2 linked regions of the Oryzias latipes genome follow. The protein of the gene in region 1 binds, or shares a complex with, the protein of each later gene. Links are inferred from orthologs where the notes say so. Each region holds a gene or a part of one and is shown in the gene's direction. Other genes may lie near its edges.

Region 1 (16,420 bases):
AATAGAAAAGAAGTTAAAAAAAAAACAGAGAAATTAAAACCTTTATCTATTGAGCATTTATTTTAATATTATTTCAGATTCAAATGTGCTCTGTATCATAATGTGTATATTGTAATTAATTGATTTGATGGGGCCTAAGCAAACTACCATTACTCCAGTGGAAGTTTTGTCATTGATAGTTATATTTCTAAAGCCTAAAATATACATATTAATAATATTAAAATAATCTTGAATACATCGTTTTGGGCTCTTTCTTTCTGCATTCACACCTTTCAAAAACATGCTGCACTTTTCCTAATTTCTCAATAGTTCTTATATTTCTGCATTTAAAGGAAATTGACTTCTTTTTTTTAATTGCTAAATTAATTCACAAATATGTCAGTTTAGATTTGATATTTGACAGCAAAGCATGTTTACTGCATGTTTTGGTTTGACAATGTTTTTCATAACATGTTTTTGCATTTAATGTCTCTGTTTTTGAACAAACTTGTCATATTCCTATTTAATATTAAACTTTTTTTGTCCCAACATTTTAGTCTAGGACTTGCTAAAATGTAATTAATGGAATGAAAAGGACATCTGTCATTAGAAAATATCAGGGTTAAACTGACTGGGACATAAATGTGTCAAAAATAGACAATGTGTTCTAGAACTGGTTATTGCTAAATGTCGGTTGGACTTTTTGTAACCGATTATTAAGGATATTTTTATTTTTACTAATATGTGTCTTATTTTGTAGGCAATGCTATAGTTTTTTTTTTTTTTTTTTTGTAGTTTAAATTGACGTAACCCTTCTCTGTCAGTTCTCTTTTTAAATGTTTCAGTACTTTTCTCCATTTTTAGAATTTCCTTTTACATTTTGAAACATTTAAATTCAATCCAGGACTTTTCTGTTGGATTCATCATCTGTTGATTTCAGAAGTTGTGGAGGTAAGTTTATCATAGAAACACTCAGCACCTCCAAGAATTTAGTTGATAATTTGAATGTTGCTCGCCACATACTTTGTCTTGTGTGAAGGAATTAAGTGTCTAAAATAATCATTAAAAACAAACCTATGCAGATGGAAGACACAGCCAACACAACCCAAATGACAGCAAAGACTATTGTTAGCAAAGGCCTTTGCATTTCTAGTAACGTGACAAATTTGATGTTTGTTTTTTCTGTCTTTATTGCATTTTCTTTCTCAAGCATGTCGTAGAGTTCCAGCTCTGCCCCGTCTCAGGTTTTGCCCTTAGGTGTCCTTGTTTTTGCTGTTCAGGGGGGGTAAGCAGGTCTTGGGACCGGACTGTTGGGAACCATTCGGATGCTGTGAAAACAAAAATGGGACCGAAGCGTCAAAAAAGAATTAGTCAAATTCACACAATTATATCAACTACTGGTAGATCTGACTGGTTTGTGTAAAGATGGCAGTTCTTCTTCCTGTCATATTTACCTTAACCAGGTGTGGCAGACACTTTTTTGCCAAGATGGGAGGCAGCACTTCCCTGTTATCGGAGGTGAAAGCTGGCGGAGGGGAGACTCTGAACGACCTCTGCGGTCCTGAAACGACCTTTTTCATCTTGGACAACGGCGGTAGGTAATGAGGAGTGTTGTGTCTAATAAGCGGGTCTGTTTTGTGCTTCATGTTGTGCTAAAAACACACCAAACGTGTTAGGGACACTTTGCATTTACGCCAATCCAAAAGTGGGCGTCGACAGCACATACTTACAGTTGTTAACGGCGTCTGTCTCATGTGTCTTCCTTTCAGTTGTTTACCAAAGCTGCTCGGCCGCCAGATTTTCTCAAGCGATTGCTGCGTTAATCTGTTTCCCGCTGCATCCAGAGTTCCAAAAAGGAAATGAGAAGTCTCGGATTTCTTCTCTGTCATCCTGGATTCAAGGCATTAAACATGCTTTGATTATAGCACATTCTACGTGGTTCTGTTTATATTTTGAAGTTCGGCAACACAAGGGATTTTTGTCATCCAGTTCAGATTCCTTTCTTAAAACGTTTCACCTGATCTCTCTGAAGTAGGTGTGCCTCAGGGCCGTTTCTGCAGAGATGCGCTCGTCCGGATCGTATGCCAGCATCTGATAAAGCAGGGACAGAGCGGGAGCCGGGCAGTTGGGGATCAGACGAGAGATGCCCGTGCCCTTCATCGGGGGGAAGTTGAAGGGCATCGCTCGAGTCCTGCCACACATTGAGGCACATGAATAATGGGGTGTTTTTGCACAGATGTATGTAAAAATGTCATGAACTACATTGTAGCAATGCAGCATAACAGAAGGAACACCAACTGCTTAAACTTTTGGAGGAGACTTTGATCTGGAGTTCCCAGCACATTGTGGATCTTGGCAACCTGGTCCAACTCATTCGCTCCAGGGAAGAGAGGCTTCAAACTGAAAGAAAAAAACAAATTTTCAGCATTTGAAAATATTTGTCAGAACGACTTTGGAGGATTGACTTATTTAAATAAAAGTCCGTTTTTGGAAGCAGTACCTCATAATCTCAAAGAAGACACAACCGGCGCTCCAGATGTCCATCTTCAGGTTGTAATACCCGTCCGTTAGGAGGCACTCGGGCGCTCGGTACCAGCGCGTGGAGATGTACTCTGTGTGCGGCGGCTTGGAGTAAACACTCCGACACGAGCCAAAGTCGGCAAGCTTTAAATCATTTTGCTGCAAATTGAGTTGGGAATGTTAAAGGCCCTCGAAATAAAAAAATAAAAAAAGGATTTGATTCAGGTGAATATTACCTTAATGAGGATATTCTCTGGCTTTACATCTCTGTGAAAGATCCCACAACTGTAAGAGAAAAAGGCATTGAAAAGTCTCTATTTCTCTATTCTGCCTTTTAAATGTATTCATTCATACCTGTGCATATGTTGAAGTGACTTGCACAATTGGTACATGTAGTTTTTGACCATATGGTCAGGTAGAGGCTTTTTCCTTTCTGCAGGAAAAAGCAGGAAACGTCCATTAGCATTTTTTTTTATTCCCATAAATCCTATCATGGAAACATGTTTAATTTCCAGTAAAGCAGACTTACTTTGTAGGAACTCATAGATGTTCATCTCCATCAGCTCACAGACGAGGGATACCGTTCCCGTCACTTTGTCGCTAAAACATTGGAATATTTGAAATCAGGTCTAATGATCCGAACAGCTGGCGTGGGTGTGAAGTAGGACATCATGAAGTGCACTCACAAAATGAGTTCATGCAGTTGAATGATGTTTGCATGAGGGCTGAGTCTCTTCATCGCCTGGACTTCTTGAAGTTTGTTGGCCTGTTCCAAACTTAAAAAAACATTATTTATTCTCCTTATAGTTCTACCAAGGCGGTCATTTTGACTGAAATACTGATCACATTTATTTTTTCACATACCCAGATTTCACAGAAATTCTCTTGCGTTTTAGCTCCAAAAGAATTAAATAAGCTTCCAACTTCTTTTTGCTCTCTTTACATCCTTCACTTTATTTAGGAGAGCTCTTTCAAAACTATACTACCGACCTGTTTTTGTTTCCATGACCTTAAATGATCTGAATGGATTTTTTTCTTTCTATTTTCCTTCTAAGTGTCTTTAAACAGCAGTTTTGTTCTGTGTCTTAATTAAATATGTTTTGTAAAATTGAGAGCTGTTTTTGTTGGTCATACACTTAATGAGTTTTTTGTTTGTTAATTCATTTTACTTTGTCATCTTTTGTTATAAATTTAGCAGGAGGAAGTGTGGCATCCCAAGGGACTATCCTCCCATTGCTCATTAAATGTTTAAATAAAATGCCATAACAGAACGTAGTTAAAAAGCAAACAAACCTATAGACCAACAAGACCCTAACTTTAAATGTGCGTTTTTAAACTAAAACTCAGAAATACCTTCATTCTAAACCCAAAAATGACAAGAAGAAAGTTACAGATGTTGCCATAAATTGAAAAAAAAAGGCCTGATATAATGAAAATTAAAATATGAAACAAAATGAATGACGTTATAAAGGTTCTGTTACAGTCAAATATTATAGTTTTTCTTTAGTGTCCTTGATTGTTTTGACCTATTCTCCCAGATACTATGTCTGAATTCCCATCCAACTCCCTAACTACTAAAATACTATATAGTGTGGGACTGTGTAGTGTCCTGGATATTAAGCAATTCAGACACCATGCTCTCTGTTTTTTGTTTTATTACTTTTCTTTTTGTGTGTGTGTTTTTTTTTTTAACGGCCTATATGACGTTATCGATTTCACAAAGTTAAAACCTCATTGATATAAGCGACTTGCAACGACCATTTATGAATCCACTGAGTTCTGAAGAGGAAAACAATTTAAAAAAATACATTAAAATACATTTTCTTAGCAAAAACTGTTCAGATGCAATGCATTGTGCTCTGTATTCGCCAATCTAGTGAGCATCAAGCAAGGATCACTGGTTTTTCGCAGGGACTTCTGGGAAATTTGTAGGTCACTGGATTTTGGAATTGTAGATTCGGACAGCACTACAAATTGGCGATCGCACTATATAGTGCACTATATAGTGCGTAGTGAAAGAATTTGGACACATCATACCAGTATGTCTTTTCAACGTGATATAGAAATAATGATCATAGCAGGCTAAAGGACTGTCATGATCATTGTAATAGTGGTGGAATGGAGTGTTAATTTGAGATTTTATTTGTTTATAAAAAACATGACTTTATGAAAAAATATTCTCACACTACACTGGAGAACTAATTAAGGGAGCATTTTTTTTTCTTATTTATTTCTGTTAAATGCAGGTTATTTTAAATAGACATTTGTGGTAAATAGAAGTCAAGTTTGATTCAAATTTCTTTTTTAAAGAAAGTAAATTTAAGTTCCAATTAGATGTGAGAAGAAACATCTAGATCTTTACAAAGGGGTTTAAATGATAAAAACATTTGGCAGTGGCGTCCGAACTTTTTTGCAAAAAAGGTCAGATCTGACTTAGTGAAAAAGTGTGAGGGTCAACCCATCAGCCTGGATTCTTAGAACCTGCATTTGCTAACATTAAATACAAATTAAGTATTTTATTAAAATTCTATTGCAATGGGGATACTTTTCATCTCTTCACATAAAACAGGAACACGTCTAAATATATTTTTTCCCAGGGTCCCGGCTTTGGACATGCCTGGCATTTAAGCCATACCTTTTTATTGTCTGCTTCATTGTTTTACAGGCATAAAACTTTCCATCTTTTAGGCTCTGAGTTTTCACCACCTCTGAAAATGCACCTTCTCCAATCTTCTTGATGACTTTGTAACCTGCAAGAAACAGAAAAACACAACAAAAGATGCTCAAATGAAATCAAAACATTCAGGTCGTTTTAGTGTTTATGGATTTCAATGATCACAATCAAAGGGAGTCAATTGTTTACATTAGTTTTGGTAACAACACAAAATAGGAAAATCATTGAAAAATCTAATGATAATCAATGAATCAATTTATATTCCCACAATCCAACCGGACCGATCTCTCTGAGGCAAGTTGATAATTGAATTAACCTATATCATTATGTAATCATTTCAAATGGAAATAAATTGATTGTAATCGATATTGGAAAATACCTTTTAGATTAAGACATCGTTTTTTAACTTTAACCAAGTGTCATCACAGTGGACAACACACATGTGATGGCAGCCGGAAATGATCAAGCCATCATTCCAGTCCAATGTGTGGAAACCCTTTGATTTTGCAAAGACATGCGACCATTCAGAGTGGCAGTGGCACATTTTGGGTTGTATTACCACAGCAGGTATTTCTGCTTATCTGAGGCCATGGGACTATGTGTGTAGAGGGTCAGCTCAAATATTGTCTCGGGTCTGCAGACGGTAAGATTAAAATAGAAGTTCTTGTAGCTGAAGAGATATTACCAATGCTTAAAAAAAGCTTGCATTGAGGATTTCTTAATCTTTGTCAATAATTGACTCAAAATTATAATAAATAATTGACCAAAATCCACTCAAAAATTGCAGTGGGCAAAGCTTTCTGCTGAAGGGCCACATGTTCCTCCCTTGGTACCCCCCCCCCCCCCCCCCTGTAATGTGGTATAATGTTTAAATTTTCAGTTTGTATTCTTTTTATGTGGAAATTAACATTTAATCGGATTAAATCAGATCGTTCAAAATGAACCAACATTGACTGTGAATCGGATCGTCATCCACAAATTCTGATATGAGTTGATTCGTTAAAATGAATCGTTCTCACCCCCTACTAGTTGAGGTAGTTAATTCTTGAGTGGATGGGAGGGTGAAAGGGCATCGACAGCCGTTTCTCCTCCCCTTTCCGTTTTTTCCTTTGTTTCAAATTCCACTTACGATGCATTTCCTTTAATCTCCTTCTGCGCACGTCAGTCAAATATCCATTGAAAGAATAAAAATGATGCATTTTCCCAGTTAGAGGTCGCGGCAATCATCGCGCTCGAGCCACCCTAACCCTGCTGGTTCACGTCCTGTTGGCTGACCGTCGCCTTGGCAACAGAGCACGCCTTCGCCCTCCTCTCTGACCCAGAGAGGAAGCCTGCTGCAAACCCACCGCGTTTCCACAACTCAACGCATTTTCAGACTTTACAAATAAATAAACAAATAAACACAACACGCCCTGCTGTGTAGGAAAAATAGGTTTATTCCCACCAGGCCCATTTCCCCCCCGATACTCACCCCTCTTCCAGAGGTGATTGGGGATCGCAAGCTCGGATGTTCTTTCGTTGGGCTTCTTCTTGCTACTGTTCTCCATGTCTGCGGAATCCCGTCTATGATTCCAGTTGGCGCTGAAAGATGTTTGGTACTCATTTCGAAGGCTTGCCTTGTTCTTTATGTCAATGAGCCAGTTTGAGTAGTGCATCTTTGGTGCACGTAAACTGCAACAAATCTGAACATGAGCTTAGAAATGCAGACAGAAAAATCTCAGAGGAGAAAAACATCTAAACACGCGCATTAATAGCATTGCCAGACATAATTAAATCACACACGACGAATTGGTGGTCAGCTGCTGTGTAAAAGGCGTGGACGGTGTTCCTTTTGTCACCTAACGGCTTCCGTACTGAAGCCTCAAGTGCGCATGCTCAAAGGTTACTCCTGCGTGTTGTTCTTTTTCGATACTGTTTTCATTGGCGGTTTTGCTTTGATAATGTGATCATATTCTACAGTTTACGGGCTTTGTAGCTGGAAGTTAAGTCAACATGAAAACTCGGTTCACCACCGTGGATATCAGGGCAGCTATTGCCGAGATCAATGCAAAGTAGGTGACACAGGTCTCATGCTAAGCTAATGCTATCTTAGCTTCGAGCTGTTTGGTTGCACATATTTAACAGGTTGTCTGGGTGTTTCTTCCCCCCTCCGCAGCTACGTCGGAATGAGAGTCTACAACGTGTATGACATCGACAATAAGACATATCTCATCCGTTTGCAGAAGTAAGGACGGTTTGTAAGCAAAGGATTGTTTAAAACTTGCTGATCCATAACTATTTACGTTTTTAATTATGAGTGATTAATATAACGTAACACATTTTAGCGCAGAACACAGCGGGTTTAATTATTTTAATTCAGGTTAACTGTTGGTTAAGAACAAGTTTAATTTAAAACCGTTATTTCTGCAATTGTGGTTATCCTTCCCATTGAAATTGGATCAAATTTAGAATTCAATACAAATACTGTTGATTTACATGGAAATAATGATAGAAAGTTAAGCTTCGTTTAGAAACAGAAGGATAATAATTCTGGTTATAGTGCTCAGCCCTAAGCAAAAAGTAGTCCACTCAAAGTTAAAAAAAAAAGTAAATTTTAGTATAAGTATAGCAAATATACTAGAAAATGTGTGTGTAGTGTAGGAATTATAGGAAATGTGTTTTTAGACTAAACTGGAACATTTTAAGTTTACAACGGCAAATATAGTGGCTCACTTTAAGTATAGACTTAACTTGTATTTACTTGTAGTTCATATCGATAGACTACTTTTTGTTGTGTTGTCTTCTCAGGCCTGATAGCAAAGCTGTTCTGCTGGTTGAGTCTGGCATCCGTATTCATTCCACAGACTTCGAATGGCCCAAGAACATGATGCCTTCGGGATTTGCAATGAAAGTAAGAAACTGAATTAAAATCAGAATTTTTTTCTTTCTTTAGGTATTAACTATGTATAACAGTCCAGGTACACTCATTACTCTGATCGTCTTTGAATCTGTTTTTAAAGCGTTCCCAGTGGTCTTTTAACTATAATTATCCTGGTTTTAGTCTAAATGTTAAAAAAAAGTTTGCGCAGAACGGCAGTATTTCATTAGAAACTCGCCTCAAAGTTGTAGGTGGAACTGCTGCCACAGAGGAACCATGCCGCCCCATCCTCTCCCAGTTGCTGAGAGCTCTTTGTTTACACTCTCCTGCTTTTCGACCTAACATTAGCGGTGCAACAAAAATGCCGAGCAATATTGGAGCTATCCTACTGTACAGTTTTGAGCCAAATACCAGCTTGGACGAGGAAAGCAAAGAAGTACGTGGATCTAGTCGTCTACAAGTCTATGCATCAGAATGGAGCAGAGCAGGGAGCTTGTGGCCTCCCCAGTGTATTTTTTATGTGACAAATTAGCCCTTTTTCTAACTTCTGCTCCTGATTCACAACAGTTTGAATAAAGAAATACTCAGAAGTGCAATTTAAACCTTTTTAATATATGTCCTCAATCCTCAGAAAACTCCAAAAACACAACTTTCTTCAGCGTGGCTCTTTAATAATCCTTTTCTACAGATTAATAGACATGGCTTTTTTTCGTTTTTTTTTTTAACTTGCACTAATGTGTTTCCACAGTGTCGAAAACACCTGAAGACGCGCAGACTGACCCACATAAAGCAGCTTGGCATTGACAGGATTGTTGACATGCAGTTTGGCTCAGACGAGGCTGCCTACCACTTGATTGTTGAACTGTATGACCGGGTCAGAGAATTGCACCTACTTCAATTAAACACACAATAACACTACTTTTTTGTTGTCACATCCAGTTCTGATTAGATAATAGTAATATTCGTTCAAACTATAATCCTGCATGTGATTGTTTTCAGGGTAACATCATCCTTGCAGATCACGAATACACGATTTTAAACCTGCTGAGGTTTCGCAACGCAGAAGCAGAGGATGTGAAGATCGCCGTGAGAGAACGCTACCCGGTGGAGAATGCCAGATCCCCTGAACCTCTCATCAGCCTGGAGCAGTAACCACACCTTTACATTTGCTTTAAACTGTTGATAATAATGTGCATTCTTTATAACCTAGTGGACGTTTCTCCTGGCTGAAAATGAGTTTTTTTTCTTTTTATCTCCAGACTTACTGAAATACTGAGCAAAGCACCAAAAGGAGAGCAAGTGAAAAGAATCTTGAATCCTCACCTTTGTAAGTATCCGTGAAGCCAGCGTCGTTCAACCTGTGGTTTCATGTCTTTAGCAGAATCGTGAGAATACATCCCTAGTTTTTCAGGTGCTTAACATACGAGGTAGAACTCCATGTCCCTGTAACGCAATGCCATAAACAGAGTAGTTTATTGCTTTTCTCAAAAAAAAGAAAGAATGTTTGTAATGTGGGACAATCACCAATTTTATATTGATCATACTAGATGCAAATAAGGAAAAACAATTTTAAAGATCAGGGGCATCAAAAGCCTCTCAGGTTTAATAAATGCGACTTATCTTAAAGTAATCCTAATAACTCATCCAGTTTAAATAGAACTTGGGATTCTTCGTCCTTCTTGCTGCACCTTCTGTAGCCAGTTGAGCTACCAATAAAGTTTTAGTCTTATTTCTTCAAGAAATACAAGAATAAAAAACTGAGTATTAAATATCTAAAATAATACATTTCTGGATGTTCTTTACTTCTCTATAAAATACTCATACTATTCTTAAAAACAAAAAAAGGTAAAGTGTTTTAATCAAAAATTCTAAGAAGCTAAAACCAGCATTTTATAATCAAATAAATCATTGTAAAGTAACATCTTACTAGTTGAGGCTGTTGGTTTGAACCATAAAAGCAAATATGATGGTTCATTTATAATTTTCATAAAAAGTAAAGGCAGCAACTTGTTGGGCTTATGCTGATGAAATTACGGTAATTTATAAGTTTTAGACAATGACCAGAAATGTGAAAAATTCACCAAAAAACACCTGAATAAAGTAAAAATGCTAGGAGAATGCAGAGAGAGACAGCAGATCTGATTTAGGGTGTTCCTATAAAATTCGTCACTTATTTCCTGAGAGATTTGAAGAAATTTACATCTATTATATATGTCATATATGTTTGATTCACTCGCAGGTTAGTCAGACTTGTAAGGTTTGAAGCAAACGAAGTAATGACCACTACTTAGAAGTATTTTTTAAATTACTTTAATTGTAGTCATTTTATTGTGTAAAAAGGTAAAAACAAAATGTGTCTCCTTTTAAAAATGTCTTCAGCTTACGGAGCCACTCTGATAGAACACAGTTTCATAGAAGCTGGACTGCCGGGCTCCATTAAAGTCGACAGTCAAGAAAACGCTGCTGAAGGTGAAACACTGCATCACTTTTCCCCTTTCATTTAAAAGTTTAGTTTAAAAATATTCTATTGACAACATTTGTCTTTTAGTTGCCCCTAAAATCCGGGAAGCGCTGCAGATCGCAGAAAGTTACATGGAAAAAACGGAGAACTTTAACGGCAAAGTAAATGAAGAATTCTTGTGTGTCACATTCTGTTTGACCTCTGCTGCATTCATCATTTCTTTTGTTGTATTTAGGGCTTCATCATTCAAAAGAGCGAAAAGAAACCAAGCGTAGCTCCAGGGAAACCTGCAGAGGAATTACTCACGTATGTCTTGCTTAAGGACTTTGCTTTGAGAATGTTGATGGAAAAGTACAGAGAAGGTCAGAAGGAGCTGCATTGTGTGTTCGTAGATTTAGAGAAGGCGTATGACAGGGTGCCGAGGGAGGAGCTGTGGTACTGTATGAGGTCGTCTGGAGTGGCAGAGAAGTATGTCAGAGTAGTTCAGGACATGTATGAGAGAAGTATGACGGTGGTGAGATGTGCTGTAGGTCAGACAGAGGAGTTCAAGGTGGAGGTGGGACTACACCAAGGATCAGCTTTGAGTCCTTTTTTGTTTGCTATGCTGATGGACAGGCTGACAGACGAGGTAAGACAGGAATCTCCCTGGACAATGATGTTTGCGGATGACATTGTAATTTGCAGTGAGAGTAGAGAGCAGGTGGAGGAACAGCTAGAGAGGTGGAGGTTTGCTCTGGAAAGAAGAGGCATGAAGGTCAGTCGTAGTAAGACAGAATACATGTGTCTGAACGAGAGGGATCAAGGTAGAAGCGTTATGTTACAGGGGGCTGAGGTGAAGAAGGTGCAGGAGTTTAAATACTTGGGGTCAACAGTTCAGTGTGATGGGGAGTGTGGAAAAGAGGTGAAGAGGCGAGTGCAGGCAGGTTGGAGCGGTTGGAGGAAAGTGTCAGGAGTGTTGTGTGACAGAAGAGTGTCAGCAAGACTCAAAGGAAAGGTGTACAAGACAGTGGTGAGACCAGCTCTGCTCTATGGGTTAGAGATGGTAGCAGTGAGACAGAGACAAGAGGCTGAGATGGAGGTAGCAGAGATGAAGATGTTGAGGTTCTCCTTAGGAGTGACCAGGTTAGACAGGATAAGGAACGAGTACATCAGAGGGACGGCTCATGTTGCCTGTGTTAGCGACAAAGTCAGAGAAGCCAGACTGAGATGGTTTGGACATGTTCAGAGGAGGGATAGTGGATATATTGGTAAAAGGATGTTGGAGATGGAGGTGCCTGGCAGGAGGGCAAGAGGACGGCCAAAGAGGAGATATATGGATGTCTTAACAGAGGACATGAAGTTGGCTAATGTTAGGGTAGAAGATGTTCATGATAGAGTGAGGTGGAAAAGGATGATTCGCTGTGGCGACCCCTGATGGGAAAAGCCGAAAGAGAAAGAAGAAGTCTTGCTTAAGGACTTTCTCCAAATTCAAATTTTCTGGCTTCATTTCTTTGATGTCTTCCAACAGATATGATGAGTTTCATCCATTCCTCTTTGTCCAGCATGCAAAAAGCCCATTTTTGGAGTTGGATTCTTTTAACAAGGTAACTCTAAAGGCATCTTACTGATGTTTTTTTGGGGGAGAAATCCACATTGCAGGATTGCTATTTATTTATGCAGGCGGTGGATGAGTTCTTTTCAAAGATGGAGGGTCAGAAGATTGACATGAAGGCCTTGCAGCAGGAGAAGCAAGCCTTGAAGAAGCTCGAAAATGTGAAGAAGGACCACGAACAAAGGCTGGAAGCTTTGCACCAAGCACAGGTTAGCAACCACGCCGCTTTCTTCGCTGCAGCACTTCCACACTCTCGTTTGTCAGACTAACAGGACTCCTGCTGTGCGTCGCAGGAGGTCGACAGACTAAAGGGGGAGCTTGTGGAGATAAATCTGGCTGTGGTAGAGAGGGCGCTGCAGGTAGTCCGCAGCGCGCTGGCCAACCAGGTGGACTGGGCGGAAATTGGCCATATTGTAAAGGAAGCGCAGGCCGCCGGGGACCCAGTGGCGTGCGCCATCAAGGAGCTGAAGCTGCACAGCAATCACATCACCATGCTTCTAAAGTAAGAGGCTGCTTTTTAAAGAAAGAGGCGTCAGATGGAAGTGGCATTCGCACCACTGCCCTGGTTTGCCTTTTGCTCCCAGGAATCCTTACATTTCTGAGGAGGAGCAGGAAGACGAGGAGATGAAGGACGCAGTGGAAGAGAAAGGGAAGAAAAACAAGAACCGGGACAAAGGTCAGAAGAAGAAGCTGCAGCGGAACAAGCCCATGTTAGTGGATGTGGATCTGGGCCTGTCGGCTTACGCCAACGCCAAAAAGTAAGTTTAACGTGCAGTGAAGGGAAATCTGTGATTTACTGTGAAGTTCTGTGCAGCTTTTCCAACCTTCACATTTTATATGCAAAGATTTATTTATATTATGCATCTGTGAATTTATTTTTTTGTTTGTTCGTATCGAATTTAAATTTCCTTAACTAATGTACATTTTTAACTTTTAATTAGAGCCTAAGAATCCATTGCAAAAACTTTTTTTTTTTTTTAAGGACTTAGTATTTTTTTTCTAAAACCCTATGTTTATATCATGTTGTTTATTTTATAATTAAAAATATTCATACATTTTTGTTTTTCTTTTGCTTTTATGTGAAAATACGTCCAGCCTTTCTGCTTTGATTTTTCATGCTCCTTAAAATAAAAGCCTGTAATGGATCTGATGTTTTATTTTTTTGTCACACTAATATGTTCAAGCTTGCAATGATGCTGTTTTTAGATACTATGACCACAAGCGCTCTGCAGAAAAGAAGCAACAGAAAACCCTCGAAGCTGCTGATAAGGTGATGAAGATATTTTCATCCATGTTTAAGCCCAAACTGCTGTCTTTCATAAATAATGTGATTTATTAGATTTTTGTTCATAAATGGAAGCTTTTCTGTTTCAGGCTATGAAATCTGCAGAGAAGAAAACACAGAAAACTCTGAAAGAAGTCCAAACGGTGACCACAATTCAAAAAGCCAGGAAGGTGTACTGGTAAGAAACAGACACGGTTGTTGTAGAGCCTCTCCATCAGTTATTCTGAGCTGTTTTTTTTTTACTTTCCTCCTTCTTTTGGCAGGTTTGAGAAGTTCCTTTGGTTCATCAGCGCTGAGAATTATCTGGTCATCGCAGGAAGAGACCAGCAGCAGAACGAGATTATCGTTAAACGTTACCTTCGAGCAGGTATGACCAGCTTCTGTTGAATCATTGAACTCTTAAAAAGCTGTTTCATTTATCTGTTGTGCGTTTGCCTCGTCAGGAGATATCTACGTTCACGCTGATCTGCATGGAGCAACCAGTTGTGTTATCAAAAACCCTTCAGGTAAACAGCTGTTTAAACAGGCTTGGCTGCATTTGGTCAAACTAAGTCACCCTGGCCTCTTTTTTTTTTTAAATTTTTTTATAGGGGACCCCATTCCCCCTCGTACTCTGACAGAAGCTGGCACTATGGCCGTGTGCTACAGCGCCGCCTGGGACGCCAAAATAATCACCAGCGCTTGGTGGGTTCACCATCATCAGGTGAGGCCCTTAGAGATGACGTGAAACATCAGAATAATTCATTTAAAAAACCCAAATCTAAACATATGAAGTTTGTTTGTTTAAAAATGAAATTTTTTAAATTACCTTTAGATTCCCATTCTATTTATTATGCATAAAATATCAAACTTTGTTTATTTAATTTTTTAAAGATCTCTCTCAAAAAAAGACCAAATCCTTATTCTCATTAAAATTATCTTAAATAATTGTCAAATCTGTTTACGCAGATGATACCATATTTTAGCTTTACTGATGCTGCTGAGATTCTGCATTTTTGATTAATTTATGCTCAAAACAAAAACTCATAATCATTTTTCATGTGTAGGAAGTTATGAACTACCGGTAATTAAAAGTTCATCTAATTATTAGTTTATATTACATTTGAATTGAAATATGTTAATTCTTGTTTGAAACGCTGGGATCTTTACAAATCAAATCCAGATTTTAGAGAAACTTTACTTTGCTCTACATGTGATCAATTGTTCGGCTTCTGAGTCCGGAAACTGACCCAAAAAAGTCTGTTGTAAAGAGGAAATCCTGTTTTTTTTTAAAAATATCTTTAACTGAAAATGTTGTGTATTTTTTTAGGTATCCAAAACCGCCCCCACTGGAGAGTATCTGACCACTGGAAGTTTCATGATTCGAGGTACAATAAACCAGCTTTCATTGTTAATAAAATGCAACCACACATTTTTAAGACCAGCTCCAAGCATCTTTTGTTTTTTTTTCCAACCATTCCAACTGGTCTTTTCATTATGATGATGTTGTTTTTAAGCAAAAATCCCCAAACTTGTGTTCTTTTCTAGAACATAGTTTCTGCAGAGCGGCAGTAGTTCATTAGAAATTCCTCTCCCTGTTTCTGAGAGCTCAGAGCAACGTAACAAATGCAATCCTTTTTTTTTCCTGTCTGCTCCCGATTTGATTAAAGAAATACTTGTAAATTCAATTTCCGGCTTATTTGTGTTCATATATGTCCTCCCTCATCAGAAAAATGCCACAAGAACATGTTCAAACCACAATTTTCATTGGAATTGATCTCCTGTTCGTGGATTAAAGTTCTTTTTTTAACTCTCTAGGGAAGAAAAACTTTCTGCCCCCGTCCTACCTGATCATGGGCTTTGGGTTCCTTTTTAAGGTTTGCTGTGAGCACATCTGAAATGTGTAATGATCCAAAGTTTTTTGTTTTGTTTTCAATCTCTCTTGTGTTTTTTTACAGGTAGAGGAGCAGAGTGTGTTCCGTCACAGAGGCGAGCGGAAGGTGAAAAGCGTCGAAGAGGAGATGGACGACGTCACGTCGAGAACGGCCGAGCTTTTAGAGGAAGGAGAGGAGCTGATGGGTAAAACGGCTAAACGCTTGGGTTTAGTGTCCGAGAAGAGCCGAAAAAAGAAGACCGTCTCTGTTGTCCCAGTAGGAGACGATAGCAGCAGTGAGGATGCGACTGAAGAAAAAGCAGGAGACGGTCAGACACCGGAAGAGGAAAACGAGACAAAAGCAAAGATTACAGTGGAAGGAGAAGAAGAGGAGAAATGTGAGGAGCCTGCTGCAGACACGGGAGCGATGGAGTCGGAGGAGAGCAACACAGATGAAGAAAAAGAAGAAAGGGAAGAGGTCCACTTTCCAGATACAACCATTTCCCTCTCTCATTTACAGCCCAGCAGGTAAAGATGTCACCTTGAAGGTGAAGGAACTGGACTCATTTGAATGAATTCAAACTGATTTGTATTTTTTCTTTCTTTTAGGAGTTCTCAAAACTCTGGCTTCAAAACAGAAGCATCACATAAAGCAGTAAGTGGCATTGTTTGGCTTTGAAGTTATTATTTTTTGTAAGTTTTTTTCTACGTTTCATACTTTATTACTCGCTCTGTGAAAGTCTTGTCAGGCTGAAGTGGATTCCCAAGGAAAGAAACACATGACTGCCAAGCAGAGGAGGTGAGTTCTGAGAACAAAATGTGAACCTTCTGACCTCAAGAAACCGTTTGTGGGAGCCGTCATCCTCCACCGTTTCTCCTCAACATTCAGAGAAGACAAAAAGATGAAGCAGAAACAAGAGGGGTCCGATGTCGAGGAGAAGACCGAGACTTCATCTGCTGGGCCGGTTTTGGATCAGGGGCCTAAAAGTGGAGGGGGGCCCTCACAGCCCCCCCTGAAGAGAGGACAGAAGGTTGGACATCTGACCCCAAAGTCTTTTAAAACATAGTTTTAGATATTTCCTATTTAGATATTCAGAGTTTCAGTTTGATGTATTTTATGGGGGAAAAAAAAGGTTAATACTGTGGTAGGTTTTATATTTTTTATTGTGAAAAAGGAAAACATGATGGGATCTCACAAAAT
Region 2 (16,235 bases), on another chromosome or scaffold:
TTTATTATGGAGCCCCTAAAGGGACATGGAGGTAAAAAAAAAAATAATAGTATTGGTTTCTCATGCACACGAGAAAAAAAACCCAGTGTGCAGCACAGCAGCTGATCAAAGCCAGTGCATCCCCGGTACCAAAACAAACTACATGACTTTAGAACTCGTTTTAGGTGACGTTCAGAGGTAACATAACGGTGACACCAGGCAAGCAAAGCTAAAGTCTTTGTAGGGGAGTCCTAAGAAATAATAACCACTTAGTTCCTCGTGTGCAACAGTTGGTTTATTGTGCGCATGAGAAACCAGTACAATTTCTTTTACATCTATGTCCCTTTAGGGGCTCCGTAGTTTATGCCAGCATAGAAGCAAAATAAATCTTAATTTCCCCATGTAAACTGTACAGTGCGTCTTCTAAGTCACTTCAAATCACGAGTTTTTAGGTTCTATTCTAAATAAATGTTAAATGTGACAGCAGCTCTTGTGTCTTCTGATTTCTTACATCATTGTCAGTAAGCTTGTTCCTTTTACTCGCTGTTAGAAAGAGATGTTATAGTTGCATTGCCTTAAAGATCTTGTATTTGTCAATGACATTAAACCTGGGATAAATAGTTTGTAAAAAATATTTTAAACTTTATTCAATGTGGCCTTTATTGTCCGTTTCATTATGTGAGAGAATGACACACAAATCCAGATGAAGGCATCAGTTAACAAACAGGAAAAAGTTAGAAACTAAACGAAGCTATTGCTTCCTTGCCAGGAAGAAAAGGGTGAAACTTTATTTAATGATTAAGTGAAATTCCTCCCTGGCCTTGCTGCACCTGTCCGGTGGGTGTTGGCCCCGCCCTCCTCCCGGGAATCCCGCATATTTTCGGAAACGACGGGCGAGGCGGGGCTGCGTCCCGCCCGCCCCGCCCCGCCCCGCTCCTCCCAGCCGCACGTCTACGGGCTGCACCTCCTCTAAAGCGCGTCGTCTTCCTTGTGCAGGCTGCAGGGTCAGGTGTCGTCGCAGGTAGAGCGTCGTAGTCGCGTCGTTTTTGGGGTCAGCACCATGGGGAGAATAGAGTGGGCCATGTGGGCCAACGAACAGGCTCTGGCTGCAGGCCTCAGTGAGTATACAAAAGATTTTTTAAGTGTTAGTATTTGCTTTTTGTCAGGTCATGAAATAACTAGGACAATTAACACTAGAACAAATAGCTCCATTTCTGTATGGTAATTCCAGTTGCAGAAATAATGTTCATCTATAGAAAGTAAAGGTGGATTGTTGTCATTAATGCTGTTTTATTTTTTTACCTTCCTGTTTCCTTCTTGTAGTTCTTCTCGCCGGAGGAATTGTGGGAGTGGCGGGGCAGTTTAGAGGCTGGGAGTTTGCTTCTTATGCTATGTATCCTTTACCTTATTATAAGAAGTGTATTGGGATTTAGACTCTTTAATACAGTTTGCACTCTGGTTCATGAGAACCAAGTGGCGCATGCGCAGGGTTAACCTGGAGAGGTTTCCCCGAATTTTAATACCTGAAAGTGTAAAGCCTCATTCACCTTTTTTTTGAAGATAATGTATATCATCCCATCTGAATATTTCAATATTTGTTTTTATAGTCTAACTACATTGTTTTTTTTCTGTGTCTTAGACAGATGAGTATTAGTTCATAACACAACTTGTGTAGTATCCGGTACACACTTCCTTATTGTGCATGTTCAGTAAATGCAGGTTCCTCCATGAGGTTTTTTTTTCTTTTCCTGTTCATCTAAGTTAAGATTTGATTTTTTCACCCAAATGTTAAAAATCATCCATTTTATGTAACCATAAAGTCCAAAATCTGATAGATTAAATTAAAAAGTTTGTTTTGTTTGTCAATTTAGCACATTTTAGTCTTATATTAAGCACTATGTGTGTTTATGATGATGATGTTGAAGTGATAACAATAATTAAAATGCCTTGACTGAAATCAAGTGCTGCTGGGGTCTTTGTGTGCCTGCTCGAGTATCCCAGGAGCAAAAGGGCCAAGGGTACGAGTGTGGAAAGGACGTAAGTTTCCCTGTAGTCTTACCTTTATTACATATTTCATCATCAGCACGTATTTTCCTAACTATTATAAGGTTTTTTACTCACTACTCATTTTCTTTCAGGGGCCAGTACTGCTTCACAGTGTGTGTAAAAGCCTTCGGACCAGTAACAAGAAACTATTATGTCAGAGCGTTTCTGCATGCAGCGTAAGTAAGATTTGAATTCTAAATTTAGAAATTCATTTCAAGCAGTCAAAACAAGAAAAAGTAAAAAAGAAAAGAAACGTGAGAGAATAACATATATAGATTTATCAAACTTAAGATCATGAATCCTTATTTGATTGGAAAAATTTGAAGTAAAAGAGAAATATTTTCAGATACATATTTGATGAAAAACAGTTTAATTAATGTCTTGAAAAGAAGTTGAATAAAGTTGACTTTGTGGTTCTGAAACAATGCCACGCTTGAATAAGTGGACTGTTTTGTGTCAATCCTTCTTTTGCCAAACGGCATTCTTTCCACTCACTAACAATAGGCTTGTGCCATGACTGTGTTTGGTCTTAAACCCTTTTGTATTTCTCTTTACAGGCTTTGTGTACCTGGAGGTTTTATGCTTGCCACAGTTTTAGGATGTGTCTGTCTTGGCATTGCCAGTCTCATCTATCTGGCAGTAAGTTGTTCAAAGCTCACCAGTTGTCAAATTTGAAAAGTGTGTTGTAATGGCGGGAAGTGGTTAGTTTCTGGAAACAAGGAAACTGCAACTTAGAAGTTGTCCCATAGTGGTGTCTCTGTTGAAACATGACATACGTTATTGCAAAACATTAAACGAAGGTGTGACTGAATTCTCCATGAGTTTCAAAGGTTCAGATGTAACACGGTTTAAATTTAGGTTTATCTCCAATTTTGAGTAAACAACATAGTCACTATCCTTTTGTGGCAAAGCATTGACATTCTCCTGCTATCTAGGCAGCTGTCCGAGGTGAACACTGGGAACCAATTCTTCCTCGCAAAGATACTCGGAAACCTGTTGCTGAAAGCATCAAAAGTCCTCCTCAGAACCCACCACCACGACCTCCTCCAGAGATACGCCGGAAGCAAGCCAAGGATGTGGAGGGAGCTGCCTATGACAATCCCATGTCTGTGACAGATGACGAGTAACTGGACCCCCCTCACAGAATGGTGGAGGAACGGTTCGCTCAAGTTAGTGACCCTGGAGAAATACAAGAAGCTGAGATCAAAGAAAAAAGTTGATATGATCAAAAAGTTGATATGATCAAAAATATACCACATACGGTAGATGTAAATGCTGTAGCTGCTAGTTTGAAAATGTAAATATACTGTTGTCAGTTTTAAGTACTGTATGTGTTAGTGTTTACTGTTTGGAAAAATATTCAAAAGGTCCAAGTCAATATCTGTTTCCTGTTCCAGCGATCATAACTTTTATAAAAGTTTTTATATTTTATAAAAGTGATCTAGAAAAATGTGTATTTACTTGTTTCTGGAGTTTTTGAAAGCAGCTAAATGCAGGTTGTGATTAAAGAATGAAAAAGTACAGATTGATGAGATGATCTGTGTTTTTGGGTGCATCATGGCGATAAAGCAATTCATGTTGTCTCATACTTCTGTGGTGATTTCTTGCTTTCTTTTAATTGTTATCTGTCATCTGTTTTTGCTTTTGTGTTTTTGTTCCTGTGGAAAATATTCAAAGCAGGGGCATTTGCAACTTCTCGCTTTTACAAGCCCAATATTTCGACACGTAGCACTTCCCCTGTTTTTCCATTGTTTCTTTGTAGTACATAGTTGTAACATTGCTGTTCACTGTTTTTTTAACGCATTGTTCAAACAGGTTCTACGTGATAGTATTTTTCTTTAATTTTCTCTTCTCTTTACTTCTGGAGTCAGAACAGTTACTGTCTATTTGTAAACCAAAGTATCATAATCGTGCTTCCTCTTTTTAGTCTAAACCGCAACACCCAGGTGCAGATTGAATCTTTATTCATGCAATGATTCTTGCTTGGAGAAATGTAGTAATCAAAGATCACGCACTTTGTTGAGAATAAAAAACAGAAATGTTTATTTAGGAGAAGAGCCACACAGAAAACCAGTCAGCTGAGTGAGTGTGTCAGAATTTCTTCCCAAAGTTCATGATACTTATACTTTTGAAACCCCAACAACTGCTTTAAAGTTTGCACATAAACTGCAAAAACAAGACAAGACCTGGTTTTTACAGATACATGTAAGTATTTAATGAAGACTTTGAAATGGAAGAGTATGAATAAAGAACAGATTGACCTCAGATCACAATGTAACTGAAACTGGTTGAAATCAAAAGTTGAAAATTTGCCCTCCATCTTCTGGAAAATACTTCTAATTTTGTCTATATAATACTAATAAATGACACCTAAAATAATCATTTCCCCTCGCTGGTTTGGGGTGTCCAAACTGAAGATGTATGAGGGCCAACCAATCGGCTCGCATTCTTTGAACTCTTATAAAAGCATTAAATGTAAATGAACTATATGATGCCATTTTTTTGCAATGGCATATTTTTCCTTTTTCCACATTGAATGGATGTTTGTTCACCTTTCAACACATCCCTTCAGGGGTTGCCACAGCAAATCAGCTTTCACTGAGTTTCATGCTGGAGGCCCTTCCTCACACAACCCTGTATTTTATCCAGGCTTTGGACCAGGGGGACCCAGACTTGGGGTCACTTGCAGCTACATTGTTAACATTTTTTTAACCTAAATTATAGTGGATTTTGTGTCCTCTTGTTTGGTTATTAAGGTTCTGAAGGCAAAGTAGCCACAGGTTGTCACAACAGGTTTATAATGGCTAAGAATGGAATTTAGCCAGCCACAATCAAGAAATTGTACACACACTTTTTAGAAAGTGCTGGGGCCACATGTTATTATTTTTATGACAGGAGCCCGTGAGAGGTGGGAATTTGAATGGAGGCTGCTTTTTGCCCACAGGCCGGACTTTGGACATGCTTCGTTTAAACCAATGATTCTGCCTTCTTGCCAAAGTAATGTGTAGCCATGAAATAATTGTCAACCTTTTCAGGTTTAATACTAATATATCATAACATATTTGAGATGAGATGATATTAGTTACCTTTGTCATAATCAGCATGTGGGAAAAGATGAACAATTGGCAGAACAGCTCATTTTAAAAGGCCATGTGATCATGATTTTAATCCTCATAAATGTGATTTTTCCTCTTAAAGACTTGAAAACAATTTAGCCTGTATCTTTAAGTAACAACTGAAGATGTATTTTTTTTATATGAAATATCTTTTCAATTTGTTTTTGGAACCAAAGTTGAAGATAAGTTACCTGGCATGTGATGTTTTTGCTCTATTTATTCTTTCAAATGTAAACGCTAGAGGGCGGAAGATTGCTCAGATGTTTTTCGACATTTAATCAAAGAAGACGAGCAAACCAATAGTATAAAGCATTTAGGTAGGAAAATGAAGTTGAAATTATTGGACATGTATAATAGAATCTGGTGTGAAGGTAAATTGCCGACAAATTGGAAAGAGGCTGTTGTTATTCCTATATTAAAACCTGGGAAAGATCCGAGCAGCCCAGAAAATTACAGCCCCAGCCCTCACATCACATGTTGGTAAAATAATGGAAAAAATGATAAATGAGAGATTGTATTATTACCTGGAGAGAAAAAATTTGTTGTCCCAATATCAGAACGGTTTTAGGAAAGGTCGAGGGACAATGGACCCTGTCGTCTGCCTAGAAGCAGACATCAGGAAAGCCCAAGTAGATAAAGCATATTTGGTGGCAGTATTTTTTTTATATAAAAAGGCTTATGATATGGTCTGGAAAGAGGGTTCATTGATAAAATTAGGTAGGTTAGGACTTCATGGAAGAATTTATAATTGGATTAAGGGGTTTTTTATTTGATAAATATGTTCAAGTTAGAATAGGAAAGTCTTTTTCTAATAGATACGTCGTGGATAATGTAACCCCACAAGGAAGTGTGATTAGCCCTGTGTTGTTTTCAATTATGATTAATGATATCTTTAGTTCCATTGGATGCGAATTTGGGAAAGCATTGTGTGCAGATGATGGAGCCTTGTGGAAGAGGGGACGGAATATTCGTTATGTGGAGAGAAAGACACAAGACGCTATTACGGAGGTGGAAAACTGGTCATACAATTGGGGATTCAAATTTTCAGTGGCTAAAACAAAATGCATGGTTTTTACTAGAAAACGTGAAACTGTTTTGAACTTAAAACTATATGGAAAAGTAATGGAGCAAGTACATAGTTTTAGGCATCTGGGAGTTATATTTGATAAAAAGTTGAAATGGAAAGAGAATATTGATAGTAGGGAGATGTAACAAAGTCATAAATAAAATGAGATGCTTGAAAGGCACTGGGTGGGGAGCTAGTGCACAGGCTTTAAAACAAAAATATGTTACAATGATTAGGTCAGTCACAGCTTATGGAATTATTGTTTACAATACAGCTTGCAAAACGTAGTTACATAAGATAGAGGTCATCCAAAATCAGGCGTTGAGAATATGTACTGGGGCTATGAGGTCAACTCCTGCTGTGTCATTACAAGTTGAAATGGGGGACCTACCATTGAATCTCAGAATTAAACAACTGCTGCTTAATTATTGGGTGTAAATACAGGGTTGTGTAGATGTAGAACATATGGTTAAGAGAGGTATTGCTCCTTGTTGGGAAAGTGGTAGTGGGACAAACAAAAGTGTTGCTTGGAAATTAGCTAGATTAACCAGAGAAACAAACATTCATGGTAAAACCCTAGTTAAGACGTTTTTGTACCCAGCCACTCCTTTCTGGGTTTTTCCAACCGTACAAGTGGATTTGTATCTCCACAGGAAGATGGAGGGTAGCAAAGGGAAGAGAAACTGGGATGAAATAACAACAGACTGGTTAGACACAGTCCATGCTTTATTTATTCCCATATATACAGACGGATCTAAAGACCTAGGCACAATGAGAACTGGTTTTTGTTTCTGTATCCCTACATTGGGAAAATATGTTGGAATTAAGACGTCAAAGGAACTTTCAGTTTTTGCAGTTGAAATGTTGGCAATATCATATAGTTTAGACTGGTTTGAACACAATAAAATTGGAGATGGTATAATTTGTTCAGACTCTTCAGACTCTTTGTCACCTTTGATGTCTCTAAAGTCTTATTCTTCTGATAGCAGATCAGATAAATTGTATGAAATTGGAAAAGGTTGGGAAAATTGAAAATAAGCATCAGATTTATGTGGGTACCAGCACATGGGGGGTGGAGGGAAATGAAATGGCTGATTTTCTGGCAAAAAGGGCGTTGAAATGGGGTATAGAGATGAAATTTCCCCTTTCCCGCACTCACACAAACCAGTTGGGTGTCTCCCTATCAGATGCAATGTATTATTTAAACCAGTGTGTCCCATTCTCAACCGTGAAATTATGCCGAGATCTCTGGCGTTTACCCTGACATTCATACCTCTCCCTACTTTTTCTTGAATGCTAAATTTAGGGGTGTTTTTTTTGTTTTGTTTTTTGTCAGGTAGTCCCCACTCTGACCCACACTCCAACACAGTAGGTGGCGGTAATGCACCTTCACGTTGGTGCCTCCCGCCAACAAAACCACAAGAAGAAGAAGAAGAAACCAATAGTATTCATCAGGTTATGGGTGTGCTATATGTCAGAAGAAAACTCGATCAAACAGTGAAAAATTGTGTGACCCATTTACTGTGAACTATGTCCACCCGGGCTCTGCGGAGACTGAAAGGAAAACAGAGGGGTCAGGAGGCCTTGGACCTCGGAGAACTAACTTTGGGTGAAAGCCCAGAGGAGCAGGCTGATGAAGCCGAGGAAGAGCACTTTAACCCTGCTGACGCGTCTCCCTCTTCAGACAACACAGGCAGCACCCGAAAGGGAAAGAAAAACAAAGCTCAGAAAAACTTCACAAACATCTATGAACTGGTAAGGTTCCGAATATTTGACTAAACACGACCCTTTCTTTGACACGGTGACGCGCATTTCTTCCTGACAGCTGCTTGCACCGTCTACATTTAGCTAACATGCTAACACAAGCTAACCAAATAATGCTAGCTTCTTCTTCTTTACCATCTGATTGAACCAATGGAGGTTTAGTTAAAAACGTTAACCTTAATTAACCTCGTTCTAAAATCGCTTACATTTATAAATATATATGTTGTTGCCGAATAAAACGTAGATTTTTACTGTTGTCAGACTGAGGAAATTGTGTCAAATCTGGGTAACCTACTTACTACACACATTACATGGATAATAGGATTATTGTCTCATAATTATTACCTTAAATATTCTAATACATTTTTAAAATGAAGTAATATTTAAGTGTTCAAATTAATTCTAAAAGACACTTATTTTGCATTTCTAAGCCTAAGAAAGTGCTTAACCAAAACAAAACTGCAATGCTCCCTTTTTATTTGTGTCTTGTACACATACCTATTTTGAATACTATATAATAAATAATTTTCTATGATTACTGTCACATTTTGTTCGTTTAATATTAGGTAGTTGCTGATCTTTTAGCTCTTCTGGTGCTGTTTATGTGCTTAAATAATTATTTTTTTTCAAAAAATGTTTTACATTTATTCTATAAAAATTTTTTTTTTTATAGATTGGTGATCCAGACTATGAAGGGGAGAAAGTTTCTGCTGATGAAGAGGCTGACAAACCAGACAAAAATGTAACAGGTGGCACTGGAATAAATGATAAACAAACCGAGAACCAGGTTCAAATGTGTGACGGAGTGTCCTCTAAGGTAAAATAAAAAGACCCACAACGTCTTTCGGTAATGTTCGGAGCCCGTGACCTGACATGGGTAAAAAAAATAATTAATTAGCTCCCACGAAATAATAATTGTGATAAGTCATTCATAAACACTGATGTCAGCGATACTTGGAATTACAGCATATACCTTCATAATTCTGTCTGTGTTTATCTCATGACAATGCATGGAAGACACGGAGGATGTTTAGAGGTTGGATTTATTTATTTTAAAAAGCTCTACAAAAGCATCGGTAATCACGTCTCCATGTCTGGGTTCATTCACAGTCTCTACCGGTACGCACTCCACCCTGCCGCATAAGCCGTTTTTCTACACTACTTCTGTGTCTCTGTGACCCACATTAATTCAAGAGGGGAAAAGTAAAAACAAGAGTCAAACTAGGGGATCTATTTATTATTGTCTCGATGAATATAAGAAAACTATCCTACGATTTTAGGAGCCCCAAGCTTGCTGCTTCCCCATACCGCAGTACCTGTCTGTCTGTCTGCGCGAGGTGATCCCTATAGTCAATAGAAACATCAATGATGCAGTGGCAAAATATGTCTTATTATTGCTGTAAACCAGTCATCTTATTTACAATAATGATGTAACCTTAGGCATTTCAGTTTATTTACGGTTGAAAATACGGGGTGTTTAAAAAGTCACAATTATTTTGTGGGAACGAATTAGTATTTTTTTTACCCATGTCAGGTCATGCGCTCAGTAGTAACGTTTTTCTGTCTTCACAAACAGTTTTTTGGGAAGTTGGATTGTTTCATTAATTCTTTCTGTAATAGTCTGCAGACCGAGTTAAAAAGAAGAAGAAAAAGAAGAAGACAAAAGTTGCATCAAAAGATGGAGAAGTAAATGGGTTCCATTTATTTTTTTCTTCCCAAATGGCTGTAAAACTATTAACATTTTGTCACCAGACTCAGTTTTACTCAAAGTTTAATTATTTATTATCATTACACATAATAACTGCATTTAGGTCATATGCTGAGCCTCATAGCTTCTTTTTGCAAGCAAACAACTACGTTCTAAACTTTTAGGAAGCTTCCTCGGATAACATTGATTTACTTCTGGAGAACTTGGAGCAGTCCAATGGCGTGAGCTTACAAAATGAAGATTGCGGCGGTTTTGATCGAAGATCAATGCTACATGTGGAGCACAGGTAAGGTCACCGTTTCCACTGAGACGAAAATGAGACTTTTGCTGAATTGGGAAAATAGTCACATTCTCAGAAATATTGAATTGCACTAACGGAGAAATGTATTGCATAGAATTTAGGTTGTCTTGTTTTTAACCCCCATCTGCAAATTCAGCAGCATAATTATCATTTTAGTAATACCTAAAGCCTCCTACCACACGTTTTTCACAGGTTATGTTTATTGATAAACAAACATATTTAATGAGGACTTGGAACTAGAAGTAACCCAGTCAGTAAAGGTGGTTTGATGTCTTCTTAACCTCTTAAACTTAAACTTAAAACTCCTTATCCATTATCCCTCAGTCAATTAAGTCCTCATTTAAATTCTATTTAACTGTATCGTTTCATTATTTATGTATTATTTTTATCTGAATATTGTGTGAAAGACTCACAAAAGCCAAACCTCTACCCAAGAAAAAAGATAGAACTTTTATTCAATTATGGTTATTACAACAACAGTCTACTTACATTCTCTGTAAATAAATAACTTAAACATGAGGGAAATGGAATAAATGTAAGTCACCTTTAGGTTTGATGAAGCAGGAACAGGAATATCCTTCTAAATTTTAAATGCATTTGCCGAATACATTTCTGTTATCTTCTTTTCTACTTGTTGAAATATTTCCAACCACACGGAGAGCTAAAGTAGCTATTTTCTCCAGAAAACAGAGGAAAAGTGGTTCATTACATGTGTTTGATCAGTAGCCAGAATGGTACGCAATTAAAATCTAAATCTGAATGTGATATTTCTGTGTCCAGAAATCTGAACCCAGAGACTGAGCTGAAGAGATATTTTGGGGCTCGAGCCGTCTTAGGGGATCTAAGGTGAGTGGAGAAAAAAAATATGTATACATATAAAACATTTTGAATTTTGAAAACTAATATCAAATATTTTTGTCATTTTTCTCCAAAGACCTCGACAGAGAAACAGGCACTTTCACCGTAGTACGTGGATGACCAGTCCAAAGGACAGCTGGCCTCGTTTCGCTCGCCCAGGTCTGTTTTTTAGGATATAAATACTGTTAAAAAAGCTGATTTCTTGTCAGTTTTATTCAATCATTCTTGGACATTAAAATGCTACATAAACTAATAAATATATAAAATATAAAAATAATATGCGTCAACCTGAACCAACATTTTTAAAACTGCTGTTTTTTGACTAATGTTGCCGTAAAACACAACTTCAGCTAATAGTTGATAAGCGTCTCATAATAAACGATTTTGTGTACCGTATTTTCCGGACTATAAGTCGCCCTTTTTTTTCATAGTTTGGCAAGGGGTGCGACTTATACTCCGCAGCGACTTATATTAGAAATAAATCGAAACTACCTTGCCTTTGTCCCTTATGGGCAAGGTAGCCACGGTTAAAATGAAAATCTTACCCAAAGTTAATTATCTCTTCTCAATGATTCCCACACAACCGCCATTAAAATGGTTCAAAACATTAGACTCATCCATATCAAGCTTTCTATGGAACAATAAACCTGCAAGAGTTAGTCTAAAAACTTTAAAATCTGCAAAAAGCTGTGGAGGATTAGAATTACCTAACTTCCACAATTACTTTCTTGCAAATAGATTACAATACATCTTAAAATGGTTAAAAAATAATCCAGAAACCAACTCATGGTTAGACTTGGAACAGGCGTTATGTGGAAAGATCAACCTGTCAGATCTTCCATTTATTAGTCAAATAGTTAAAAGACAGGATTGTTTCAAAAGTATTAATATAAATGCCACTTTAACAGCCTGGTGGGAATTTCTCAAAATATCAAAATCATCAATTCAACCGTGCAAAATGACACCCATCTGGAACAACCCAGACATCCTCATAAACAAAAAAATTATCCACTTCCCAGCTTGGCAAGCAGGGGGCATAAAACAACTAGAGCACATAATTATTAATAGAAGATTCATAACTCCCCAGGAACTTCAAGACAAACACGGAATATATAACTTCTTGGAATATCAGCAACTTAAATCAATTATTACTAAAAAGTTTAAATACAGAGACAACGATTTAAAGCTACCAGATGTAGTTACCACTCTGATCAATTTCTCAATGAATAAAACTCTCTCCAAAATATACAAACTTTTATGTAATTTAGATAACAATATTTCACTTCCGACAACAAAATGGGATGCGGATTTGAGCATCAGCACAGATGAAAGTTTTTGGTCAGAACTTTGTCTAAACACCTTTAAAATGACAAAAAATCCAAATCTGCAGCTAATCCATTTCAAAACTCTTCACAGAATTTACTACACTGGACAGAGGATGTTCAAGATGGGTCTCAGTAACTCAGACATTTGTCAGCACTGTGACAGTAATCTACCCGACAATTACATGCATGCACTATGGTTCTGCACGCCTGTCCAGGCTCTCTGGCAGCAGGTATGTGCCGATCTATCAGTCTGGCTTAAGGTTTCAATCACAGCTTCACCGTCACTTTGTGTGCTTGGTGACATGAGTGCCATCGATGTAGAAGGAGGATTAGGCTCTATCATTTTCATAACTCTTTGCATTGCTAAAAAAACTATTTTAATAAATTGGAAAAGCAAAAAAAATATAAATATAAGTCAACACAGAAATCTGCTGCTTGATCATATCAGCTTGGAAAAAATGTCAGCCCAAAGTTCAAGTAACTTTGAAAGAATTCGGTCTCTCTGGTCTCCCATAGCTAACTCCGTGACTTAGGGGGTGGGGGGGGCATGGTCGTCGCTGCTCCTTGCCCTTCTGCCGTGGGCCGGGGTGGGGGTCGGGGCCTCCGGTGCCTGGCCGGGGGTGGTGGGGGCTCCGTTGGTCGGGGGGTCGGGTCCGGCGCCTGGGTGGGGCGGCCTGGGGCGCTGCGTGGTCCTCTGGGCTTGGGTGTGGGGGTGCGTGGTGGGGGGGGTGGTGGTCTGGCTTGGCTTGGGGGGGTGGTCCCTTTGCCTGTGCTGGGGGGGGTTGGCGGGGGGCGCTGCTCCGGGGGGGGGGGCCCAGCGGCGCCGGATGGGCTTCCCGTCTACGCCTGGGGCTGGGATCGGCCCTTCCCTGGCTCTGGGGCGGGACGGGACAACCCTCTTGGGGCCCCCGGTCGCTCTGGGTGTCATCCGCTTCGGCTGCGGGGTCTGGGGGTGGGGTGGGGTGGGGGTCTTGTCGGCCCTGTCCTGTGGGGGGGCATTCTGGGGGAGGGAGGGGGGGCACTATTGGTACGGGGCAGGGGGGGTTGACGGGTCGGGGTCTCCGCTGAGGCCATCGGCGGTTTCCCCGGCCGGTTGGCTGCCTCGGTCCCGTCGAGGCCTGACCAGAGCTCTTCTAGGGCCGGCGTTTGGGGGTGGGGGCCTGGGCTTGCTCCGGGGGGGGCCGGCGCTTTCTGGCTCCCCTCTCTCTGTGTGGGGGTGGTGGTGCTGGGCCTGGGGTGTCTGCGCCTCCGGGGGTGGGGCCCCGGGGCTGGGTGGGCCTGGCCCCCTTGCTGGGGGGGGGGCGGGGGACGGCTGTTTGACCACCGGGGGACAGTCTATCATCTGTCCCCAACTTACCCCCTTCCTCATATAACCTCATAATAGGGTGAGGGGGTGGGGGGCTTAGCCTGCGATGAGCCTTGGGGGGGGGGTTTACTAGGCAGTGACCCCCCTCCTGTGGTTGCCGTATGGAGTGGGCCCCCCCTCTTTCGGTTTTATTTGCACCTTAGACATGTAGGGCCCTTGGTAGGGGGGGTGCTTGGACATCACTGCCAGCAAGCAGCGGATGTCCTCCTAGCACCCTACCCGCCAATTTTAACCGCACCTTAGACATTTAGGGCCCCTTGGTGGGGAGGGTGAGGGGACGTCACTGTGAGTAATCAGGAGACGTCCCCTTAGTGCCCTACCCGCCAATTTTAACCGCACTCCCCTTAGTACACACACCCCTCCCCCCTCAATATATACATCCCAACATAAACACACACACATGCACACACACACTCTCTCAAACACACATACACGCACACACATTTTGCAAGGAAGGTGGGACCTAGGACCATCTGTCCCCTGCCTCTTCCCTGGTGGGGGGTACGGGCCCCTTTGCAACGGCGGCTGTGTCCCCGGGGTGCCGGCTTCCTGGGCCCGGCGGTGCTCTCTCCGCGCGGTGGGGGGGTTCACATTACATCTGAGCCGGGGGTGTTCGTGTCCCTGGGGGGTGGGTTCTGGTCCTTGCTCCTGAGTGCTGGGCCCCGCCAAATTTCCAACTGTGGCCGAGCCTGGTCGGGCCATATTTACAACACCCCTTGTGGGCCCTCTTTTTTCCCCGGGGTTCCCCCCTTCTGGGCGGGGGCGGCGGGCCCCTGCCTCGCTCCTCCCTGGACCAACCGTGGGCCGGGCGGATGGCTGAATGGAGTGCGGAGTGGGTCTCCCTTGGGGGGTCCTGGCTCGTACCTGGGGTTGGGGCGGGGGGATGCCCGGAACTCCTGGGTGGTGGTGGGGTGCTCGTCTGGGGCTGTGGGCGTCCTTCTCCGGTGGGGCCCTGCGTTGGGTTCTCCCGGCGCGGCGGGGGGGCTAATCTCCTGGTTGGGCTGGGGCGGCGCCCTCTTTCCCTCCGTGCCTCCCTGCTCTCTGGCTCTGGGGGCCTTGCGGCGGCCCTGCTGGCCCTGGCCTGGGTGGCGGGCTTGGTCGCCCGGGCGGCCGTTGTTCCCTGCCGGTTCCCGTGTGGCGTTGGGGGGATTCCGGCTGCCGCTGCTGGTGCGGTGGGGGTCTTGGGGTGGGGATGGCTGGGCACTCTCCATCCTTCTTTTCACGTTCCACCATCCATTTTAGAAGAACATAAACACTCACCTGAGCACAGGTGTTAGCTCAACAGACTGAATGACTGAAATATTTCACACTAGTTGGTTTTAAGGCATAAGTATGCGTGTGAACACTATCTGTTTTGTGTACATGTCGACAGGTGGACATTTTTGCAACTAACAGGTGTGTTTATAACATTTGAGTGTGTGTGTGGACAGGCTCCGCCCTTTTTTTTTGTTTTTTTTTTACATTTGAACCTTACCATAATGATTAACAACCAGTAAACTTGCTGCTTTATGCTGCTTCATGGTCTTATCCCCCTTCCCCTCCTATTATCACCCCCTACCCCCCCTCTAACGTCCCTCTCTCTTCTTCCCCTCTTTCCTTTTCCGTCCGGTCCAACACCAAAGATTTTCAGACATGTTTGAAATTAATAAAGTTTGGCCTCAATTACAAAAGGGGTTTATTCAGACATACCTTTGGTTTGTCTGAAGATTAATAACCCCTCTTGTTAAAGTAAAATATGTCCAACCCAAGAGGCCCTCAGCTCTCATCTGTCTGCCTAGCTGTTGGACAGGACAAGTTAAAAAAAAAAAAAAAAAAAAAAAAAAAGAAAGAAAGAAATAAATCGAAATAAATACATTGTTAACCCTCCTGTTATATGTTCATTTGTGAGGAACAGAGATGATGTTCCTGGGTCAATTTAATGTATGAGGTATGTTAAGTGTTAGGAGTATGTTAAGTGACTCAGAGAATCAACAAACTTTTTTTTTACAGTAAGATCTTGAAGGCTAACAACATAATATTCTATTTTCCAATGATTTCATAGATTCAGAAATGCAATAAAAGTGAAAACTGTTTCTACAAATACAGGATGAAAACAGAGTATTAGTTGGCCGATGATGCTTCATGAAAAGAATAAATAAATAAGTTTGAGAAAAAATTACTGTGAAATTATTAGATAAACAGTCTGCTTTGATTGTGTCATATAAGGTTGTGAAAGTTAAAATGCGACTTATAGTCCAGTGCGACTTATCTGTGTTTTTTTCTACTTTATAATGCCTTTTTGGGCTGGTGCGACTTATACTCCGGTGCGACTTATAGTCCGGAAAATACGGTAATTTCATGACATGTTAGATTGCTACATATCCAGTAAGAGTTTTTAATTCTACTTGTATTCAGGAAAATAATAATTACTAAATCAAGAAATAATTATATTCCTTGATTTAGACACCTGGAATAGTTTGAACTGGTATGCACAATATAGTTGTATTGATTTTTTTTTTCCAAAATTGTTCATTTATGTGTTAAACTTTAGCTTTTAAAAAGATTGACAAACTGTTACACAGCAGTCTCATGTCCATATCTGTGGACTTTTCATGCATTAGTAAATGAAATGGTGAGTGAACAGAAACAAAATGATGTTAAAAGTACCGGTACACAGAAACCAGTCTGACACATAATCACTGAATAGGATCAACAAACGAATTGGAG

What was found.
Region 2: nemf (region 1) and tcf25 share a complex: the UniProt entries of both Homo sapiens proteins name them as parts of the ribosome quality control complex. The link is inferred for Oryzias latipes from reciprocal best matches to the Homo sapiens genes NEMF and TCF25.

What each region holds. Positions count from the first base shown.
Region 1 is NC_019880.2:6,691,211-6,707,630, forward strand, and holds the start of nemf (nuclear export mediator factor NEMF), read left to right. Parts: upstream 1-7,040; 5' UTR 7,041-7,165; coding exon 7,166-7,224; intron 7,225-7,328; coding exon 7,329-7,397; intron 7,398-7,960; coding exon 7,961-8,063; intron 8,064-8,778; coding exon 8,779-8,904; intron 8,905-9,029; coding exon 9,030-9,178; intron 9,179-9,289; coding exon 9,290-9,357; intron 9,358-10,409; coding exon 10,410-10,499; intron 10,500-10,578; coding exon 10,579-10,652; intron 10,653-10,726; coding exon 10,727-10,797; intron 10,798-11,998; coding exon 11,999-12,074; intron 12,075-12,150; coding exon 12,151-12,291; intron 12,292-12,375; coding exon 12,376-12,584; intron 12,585-12,666; coding exon 12,667-12,840; intron 12,841-13,288; coding exon 13,289-13,352; intron 13,353-13,456; coding exon 13,457-13,545; intron 13,546-13,630; coding exon 13,631-13,734; intron 13,735-13,810; coding exon 13,811-13,873; intron 13,874-13,957; coding exon 13,958-14,070; intron 14,071-14,676; coding exon 14,677-14,734; intron 14,735-15,164; and 12 more. Other genes in the region: mok (MAPK/MAK/MRK overlapping kinase), read right to left, coding at 1,233-1,307, 1,434-1,631, 1,710-1,869, 1,997-2,170, 2,278-2,379, 2,480-2,658, 2,736-2,784, 2,854-2,932 and 4 more. UniProt on the Homo sapiens protein: Key component of the ribosome quality control complex (RQC), a ribosome-associated complex that mediates the extraction of incompletely synthesized nascent chains from stalled ribosomes as well as their ubiquitin-mediated proteasomal degradation.
Region 2 is NC_019861.2:22,091,342-22,107,576, forward strand, and holds the start of tcf25 (transcription factor 25), read left to right. Parts: upstream 1-7,628; 5' UTR 7,629-7,737; coding exon 7,738-7,962; intron 7,963-8,644; coding exon 8,645-8,788; intron 8,789-9,591; coding exon 9,592-9,657; intron 9,658-9,843; coding exon 9,844-9,965; intron 9,966-10,760; coding exon 10,761-10,826; intron 10,827-10,914; coding exon 10,915-10,997; intron 10,998-16,235. Other genes in the region: cytochrome b-245 light chain, read left to right, coding at 1,040-1,097, 1,303-1,372, 1,942-2,016, 2,118-2,201, 2,583-2,664, 2,961-3,152. UniProt on the Homo sapiens protein: Component of the ribosome quality control complex (RQC), a ribosome-associated complex that mediates ubiquitination and extraction of incompletely synthesized nascent chains for proteasomal degradation.